Linked DNA regions of Caenorhabditis elegans. The protein of the gene in region 2 interacts with the protein of the main gene of each other region in a pairwise test. Each region holds a gene or a part of one and is shown on either strand. Other genes may lie near its edges.

Region 1 (4,356 bases), on a different chromosome or scaffold from region 2:
TCAAATTTGTCAAATTCCGTACGGTTGAAAACCCCCCATAATGACTCATATTTTCCGGTTTTAATTGAAATAAATGTTGCTTTGTTTTCTTACAGCTCAAAAATTCCTATAAAAACCAAACGAAACCCCCAAAAACAATTAAATTTCAATGCTTCTCCCTATCAAAATTTTCCTAGTTGCTGGCTTCCTTGTCGATGGACAATCGACTCCTACAAAAAGCTATCGTAAGTTGAGGTTTGGATCTCGCGGCGAGTTTATTGATTTTTAATTGAAAAATCGATAATAAACAGCGCTTTTTCCCGATTACTGTAGTACTTCGCTGCGAGACCAACAACTTTTCAGCGGTACCGAACCCATTAAACGGTACATGTCAATATGATGGTCTGGCCATGGCGGATCCATACGATCCAATGATATTCTATCAATGTTGCAAATATATGTGGTTTTTTCAAACTTGCAACGACGGCATGGTTTTTGATAAAATTGCGAGTTTGTTTGATTGATAAAAATTTCAAACCCTTTCCGTTTCAGAAACTCGCCTGCGTTCCATCTTCTGGTTCTTCTCAAAAACTGGCAGTTAATCAGAAAGTTTTTTAATTGCTAATTAAAAATATACGTTAATTTAGCATGAAACATAGGACATAACAAGTAAAGAAAAAGGGAAAATTGAACAAAAGAAAAAAAACGGGAAAATACTTTTTAAAATAAGGCAGAAGAAATACAGAAATATATAAAACTTTGAGTGATCAAAATGGGCACTCGCTGAATCCTCGTAGTGATTTGAGGCAATAATCCGGCTGTTTCATGCAGATTGGTGAACTTCGGACTTCGGATTTCAGCTGAAAATAAGAAAATTTATCGAAAGCCTTTTTCTCTGGAAAATTGTGCTTACAACGTGCTCTTTCTGATACTGATCACGCATTTTCCGAACAGACGGTGGCCACGTCTTCGGGCAATAATTCAGAAAGCGTCCTTCGGTAATAATCATCACGACTCGCGGGGGTCCGGCGATAAGTGCTTCGAAATATGCAAACGTGCTGTTCTGATAGCACGGAACCACGAACGCCATCATGCTTCCCTTCGTCGCGTATTTTTCACCCGCCGACTCAATGATTCCGATTTGATTTGCACCGGCGAACACATTAACGTGACCCTCCAATCTTTGAGACTTCAGCCAGTAGCCGTTCGGTGTCTGGAAATAGATAAATAATTATAAATGCTGTTAAAATTTAATATTAAAATGATTAAGCACCTTCTTTGTAACGACTAAATCATCGAATCTGAGCACTCTCGCTGGCCATAAATTGCGCCCAATATTCGGATCCTTCTCTGATTCTTCGATGAGTGGCTGGAACGATGATATGGTCCATTGAATCGGGGAACCATCGGGAATCGAGCTGAAAATTTGGAACTATTATTCTTTTTACGCGTTTTTTTTAACTAACAAGTTAAATTCCGCCTTGACAGTAATATGGCACATTCGCAACGGCGCGAAAATCTGCATCTCGGTCAGCAGCAGCTTCCGTCGAATATTGGCTCGATCCGCGGCACTCAGATAGATCGGTCCGACCGCATCTGTCCAAACCATCGTCCTGTGCGTCTGATGATCGTCGTCCAACACAAAATCAATCCAATTCACTATCCCGAAAATCCGAAGCTCGACGCCTTTGTTGTAACGATATTTGGGACTGATTAGACCAGTTTGAGGAAGGGACGAGTGAATCGGAAGCACTTCGTACAGACCGTCTCCGATGATTTTGTACTTCACTAGCGGCGTTTTGTCGATCGAATCCGTCTGTTGAGGCGTGAGAATTATGCGTTGGATTCCGCCTCGATAGCTGTAGAGTAGGTGCTGAAATTTAAAAAATGAGATTGAAAATCAAAATTTTTTTCGTAATTCCTACTTGATAATTCGCCTTATCCGGCGTTTTCTCCTTATTAATCGCCAAAGCGATGTACCAATCGTGATCGCGGTACTCGACAAGCTCAGAGGCCTCGAACTTGTCATCCTCGCTTCCTATTCTTTCGATCACCGCCCAACACTCGTTCTCGACGTCTTTTTCGTCGTCCTCGAACACTTCTGAGCCATCTGCGGGGACATTCATGTAGAACCGTGGGCCCACGTCGAAGTGATCCGGAATTTTCCGGCTCGAACTGACGCGATGTTCCTTCGACTTGCTGGACACGGTTTTGATCTCCTGAACCGGTGGATGCTCTTTCTGGTTATTCTGGACCGGAACTTCTCTCAGAATTATCCGTGGGGGCTCGGGTGGCAACATCTCAAAATTGGTTATTAGATTTTACGGCGAAATTTTGAAAAATACCTGTTTTGATTGAGGTCCCCAGTGTGACGCTATAATAACTGTCATATTTCAGCGCTACAAGTAATAAAATATTCAAAAAAAAGTCGCAAAAAGACTTGAGAAAAAAATAACTCGAAATTCGAAAATTAAACTCCTAAAATTAAAGGCGCAGGCGTTTCCCAGTTTGGGTCTCGATGCGACATTGTCGTGTACTCCACGGGGACTTCGTTTACCATGAGTGTTTTTTGAAAAACGACAATGCATTGCTTTTTTGTGGAAAACACGAAAAACGTGAAATTTTAAACATAAAAATTTAATATTTTCCAGTCTTTGTACATATTCAGCATTTTCAACTGATGGCGCGCGGTTCCAAGTGAAGCCTGCGATTTTTTTTCGAATGTTTTTTCATATTTGGATGAGATGAACAAAAATCGCTTCGATAAAAATTAATTTATATTAATCTTGACAAGAAAAGGATGGGATAAATTAGAGAAAATAAGAAAACTGGATCAAATTTCAGTTTCTTTAGGGTCCGGCAACGCGTGCATCGATTCCACGTGCTTTTTCGAGATCATCGCTTGCCCTAGAAATCGGACTCCTTTCAATTGTGGATCTTTGTCCCATCGCTCGTCTGCCTGGAAATTAAAAGAAATTGCTGAAAGACAGAGAAGCACTGGGATTTTAATATTATACGATTTTTGGTAACAAACCCTAATTCCAACCATTTCAGCGTTGGAAACCTGAAAAAAACTTGATTTTTCATGATTTTCAGACAAAATCCTGCCTTTTCTGAAATATTTATTCGTGAGATAGAAAATTGTGTAGTGCCGCGCAGAAAACGGGGTGGGCGTTGTTTTGCAAACCTGCGGCGCGTCGGCTCTAGTGTACTACTCGTGGAGAACTTTTTGGTTACAATACACGATTTTTTGTTATTTTCGCTTATTTTTCCGTGTTTGACATTCGAATTGGTTAAAACTTGTCATTTGAATCCAGAAAAGAAAAACACGAAATTCATCGTTTTTAACCGCAAACCTTATAAATAATCGATCGTTCAAAAGTTAAATACTGAAAAAAAAACAACGAAAATGAAATAAAATCAAGCATTTTTTTCAAAAAAGTTTCGATTTTACTTGTTTCTTTCTCTTTCTTTTCGAATGAAAATGATATCCAATTTAATTCTAATAAGATTAAGACTCTTAATTTGAGAGGATATTCCATGTTTTTATATGCAATTTAGCATATGTGAATTATTTAGAATGAATACCATTTTTATACAAAAAAGAGAAAAAACAAGTACAATCGAAACTTTCTTGAAAAAAAAAGTTGTGGAAAAACCATGCGGCAGTGTTGCGATGTTCCGCTCCGCCCCACTCTCTGTGTAACTCAGATGTTTGCACAATTCACGGATCGATCATTTTTGCAGTAGCCTGGTAGCCGAGAAAATTGCGAAAACTAAGCCAGCAATAGAAAAAGGCGGAATGTTGTTTTGCCTGCGGCGCATAATTTTAAGGAAAAATATTTGAAACTATGAGCTTTTGGACCAAATTTTCATCAAATTTTTACCTTGTTGAAAACCATATTAGCGTCCTTGTCAGTGGCGATCATCGTGCCACGTATGTACCGCCCGTCGGTCATTCGAATTTCATAGCGTTTGCCAATGTATTCCAGCACTTTCAGATGGGCTTCCGACTTTTTCGCGTTCTCGTGTCCCTTCAACTGAATCAAATCGGTACTTTGATCGTCGCACATGCTAGCTGTCAATCGTCTTGTTCTTTTCATTTTAGAGGGGGGGGGGGGGGTCTGGAAAATCAAATAGACATGGATGACGCCACCAATAATGAAAATTTCAAAAACATTAAGAAAAAAGTATTTTTTCAGTCCGTAAAAATTTAGACATATGTATCACAACACAAAATATGTAACAAGTTTTGAAATGAGAAAATAATCACATTTTTGTCTAATTATGCAGAATAAAAGTGAAGTAGGTTCCCGCCACGGGGTTTTAGAGATTTTTTGGTAGATCAAAAATAAATTTGATGAAAATTCGGAAAGA
Region 2 (3,764 bases):
AATATAAAAAAACAAATTATGTAGATGGATCATTAAAACAATTGGAATAGACAAGACGTAGACATAACCGCAGATAAAGGATGTTGATACGACTGAAGAAGATGTGATGGCGCCAGTAAGGCACATCTGAGGGCTTGAAGCCAAGATTCAGGTAATCTTTGGCCGCAGACATTCGTTTGTTTTATCACGAATTAATATCTTGTTTTCAATGGTATTTGTTAAGTTCCTCCATTTTTCATTCCTTGATTTATTCTTTGACCCGTCTAAAAAATAACCTGTTTTGACGTGCCAAGTTCACTTGTCAATCAAAGTAGAAAAATGGGCATTTGTTCGGAGAAAAAAGTATCTGAGAGTATGGAATTCGAAATGAGAAACCACCAATTGAATCCTAATAGGTTTGGAATGTACAACATTTGCCAAATTAGAATTTGGAAACATTTCGACTTCTGATTTTTGATTTTTCAATTTTTTTTTGTTGAGAAGACAACAGCTTCAATATCTACTGCAATTGATTCATGGATCAAATTCAAATGTATCAAAGTATTTATTTACAAACCAGTGTTTTTTGGGCAAAAGCGAGCATGTGGGATTATATACAAGAGACCGGCAAAATTGGCAATCGAACCCGTAGTCGATTGTTTAAGAAAATGGTAGGTACAATTACAGAAGCAGAAGCAAGTTGAAGAATGAATGTACAGATGAAAAATGATAGAAGTGAAGAGCATCAAACAATCAACTGATTTAGTTGAATGTAGAGGTTGGAATGTTTGATTTGTAACCGAATGTCTTCTTCATCTCCTGTACAAAAGAGTTGGCACAATCACAGCAAACGGAGCAGAGCATTCCCATTGGATATCCCTTATTATCAGTACATCCATTCATTGCCACAAAGATTTGATTGCAGGCTTTGTTATCCAAAGTAGCAGACAAAGCAGAGTAAGAGCCGTCGTTTGGAATTGGTCCAGTGCATCCGAGCATTTGGCAGGATGGTTGAGTAACTTTCTCGAAATCAGAACCCTCGAGATAAGTGGCAGCTGGATTGGTGATTGGTCCAGCAACGGCAGCTCCACCGGTAGATTCTCCGAAGTAATCCTCATCGGTATCCTCATCGGAAGTTTGAGTCGAGGCAGATGCTGTTTCTGGATTTTCAGTAACAAAAGATCCAGTGAATTCGGGTACAACTCCATCTGGTTGCTCAAATTCATCCTTTACTTTCTTTTGTCCTGGAAGTTTCTCGGATTTCTTTGGAGTCATTGGAACAACTCCGTCGACATTTCCATTTCCATCGGCAAAATGCCCATCTCCCATGGCACCGAGGAACAGGTCAAGATCGAAGGAGTCTAGAAAAAACAATGATAATAAAAGAGCTCAAATAATTTCGAGTTTAAAACTAACCATCTGGTTTTTCAGTAGTTGTTGTAGTTGGTTTTGATGCAGCGAAAGCTGTCAAGAGAACAGTAGCGAAGAATAGAGAGAAGTTCATGGTTTATTTCGAGCGGTTGTGTTTTCTAAAAATAGAAAAAGGAATGAACACTTGAAGTGAGGTACAATGTCTTCCTCGTCAGCCATTAAATATTGCCGCCCTGTAGTCGTTGATCAGAGGCGCGCGCACGCCGTCCTTCCCCAAGTGGATGGGCGGCGCTTGGAGAAGGATGGGCGGCGCCAAGGACAAAAATCTCGTGAATTATCATAAGATATGAGGTGTTTACATTCCTCTATCACTGTCTAGATAACAAATCCCTAATCAGCTGATTATATCTGATATGATAAGGATAACTTTTCGCAGTTTCTGGCGACGTTCTGTTCAGTTCGTGTCCATCACCGTTCGCGTGGCGCTGGTTTCCATTTTTTTTTTGTCGCGGGACAAAGTGTCGATGACGACGCTTATCATTTATCTTATCACTTATGGGCTAAAGATAGAGATGTATCTAACACGGGGATAAGAGATGGAGATCGCCTCGTGATATAGAATGACGCGCGGTAAAAGTCTCATGAAGATTAATGGGATTATAGAGGTTCGAAAAGGAACCGATCTCACTAGTGTGAACATGTTTCAAGCTGGACATGTTCATCTCTATCTAAGCAAACAATGTTGTACAATCGTTTTTGTATATTTTATGTTTTTATTTCTTACTTTATCTTCTGTTGAGTTTCTTAAATTCAAATGTTATTTAAGTATTTATACTAATCTAGGGATATTAAAGGGGATCTGCTTATATTTTCATTTTTCTAAGCTAAGTTTGGCGTATTCTTTGCCAGAAACTGGGTCCTCAAACTCGAATTTTCATGAGCCATATATTTTTTTACAGCTCAATTGAGAATTCACTTTTTAACTACAAGCGTTTCATAATGACAATTTGGGATTATCTGTAGATCTCGTTGTTATCCGTATAGAAAACAACTAAGTACACAAAAAATATTTTCAAATTTCACACCTAACACTTGTTTTTCACTTTAATCTAATTGAAAGTGTTTTCAACTTTTTTAATCTTAAGTGTCTTTTGCCTTCTTATCTCATTATGTTTTCTGATCCTTTCCATTCAACTTTACTCAACAATTTCAATCATTTCAAGGCCACAGGTAGGATATTTATTTATAGGATCATCAGGGATATCTATTTCTCTCTCTCTCTCATTTTAACAGTCTGATAGCGACAAGGAAGAAAAAAGAGAAATGGAATGTGTAGTTGTACTTCTATCATCTCATTTTCTTCATGTTTTCATCAGTTATCGTTGACGTGGCATTGGTCAGTTGAGGCGTGGTGTAGATCAGTCTCAATTGGTAGTTAAAATGAGATACCCGAGGGGGATCGATGTCAGTGACAGTTACCCAGATATGAATTGGATGATAGGAATGTCTGTGAAAAAAGGAATGATCGACGGCACGTTCCACAGCTAACAAGGCGTCCGTTTGTCGAAGCCACGTCATCAGGAATAAACGATTTTATCAATCATATTGGAGATGTTTTTGGGTTTTCAGATGATCTGGTCTTGTTGGGTTACGGTACAAAGGTTGATCTTATTGGCGAAGAAATCATGATTTTGACGATAATTGTTAGTAAGTCTGTACCCACCGTGCACCCGATAATAACATGGAAAACCTCGTTGTCTAGACATCGATACGAATAAGAAACTTTCTAGGTAGAGTTTTCTATCAATGAAAATTTATTTGAAAGTTGGGGTTACCCAGAAATTTCATCACTTTTTTTTATTATTTTGAGCGCTTGCGAAAACTCGAAAAAAAATTGTTGAATTATCAAAAATTGAATCCCCACAAAGATGGACCTGTACATTTTTGATAACTTGATAAAGAAAAGGTGTATTTATTTCCAATACGAATTTCACTGAAAACATTTCCGTTCATATTAATAATGTTGAGACTTGGGAGCTGTTGAAATCGGTAATTGTTGAAAAAAATGTATGCTTGTGGTATAATCCGTATTAAAATAATCAAGTATCCTGACGATGCTGCAGGTATGGAATCAAATTTTACTTTAGTTATGTTTTTCATCACAAGTCGTTTCATCTAAAGGATTTTAAGTGAGCATTTTAAGTCTAGCTTTCTAAACTGTTTCAGACACTATTCAACTTGCGTCCTTGATACCTAGAAATAGATGCTTGCAATCGTATCTGTTTGTTGTCTTGACAATCGGAAGAAAAGTCACGCAGCAACAGTTGTGTTTACTCTGTTTCCGTAGATTTCTGATCTGAAAACCACCCTACAGACATGTTTAGTACCTCTCCAAAACGTCTCTTAGTAACGGA

The links.
Region 1: the proteins of F45D3.4 (region 2) and pid-2 interact in a two-hybrid assay, tested with the Caenorhabditis elegans proteins (one large-scale study listed by BioGRID).

Annotation. Positions count from the first base shown.
Region 1 is NC_003279.8:91,105-95,460, reverse strand, and holds pid-2 (Protein pid-2), read right to left. Parts: upstream 2,440-4,356; 5' UTR 2,370-2,439; coding exon 2,325-2,369; intron 2,280-2,324; coding exon 1,905-2,279; intron 1,853-1,904; coding exon 1,446-1,852; intron 1,398-1,445; coding exon 1,253-1,397; intron 1,193-1,252; coding exon 893-1,192; intron 840-892; coding exon 747-839; 3' UTR 598-746; downstream 1-597. Other genes in the region: Y48G1C.13 (Chitin-binding type-2 domain-containing protein), read left to right, coding at 149-224, 343-485, 532-597; natc-3 (Sm domain-containing protein), read right to left, coding at 2,813-2,938, 3,867-4,052. UniProt on the Caenorhabditis elegans protein: Involved in gene silencing mediated by a class of 21 nucleotide PIWI-interacting RNAs (piRNAs) that possess a uracil residue at the 5'-end (also called 21U-RNAs) and that guide the Piwi protein prg-1 to its DNA targets for silencing.
Region 2 is NC_003283.11:12,551,684-12,555,447, forward strand, and holds F45D3.4 (uncharacterized protein), read right to left. Parts: upstream 1,509-3,764; 5' UTR 1,484-1,508; coding exon 1,396-1,483; intron 1,341-1,395; coding exon 742-1,340; 3' UTR 530-741; downstream 1-529.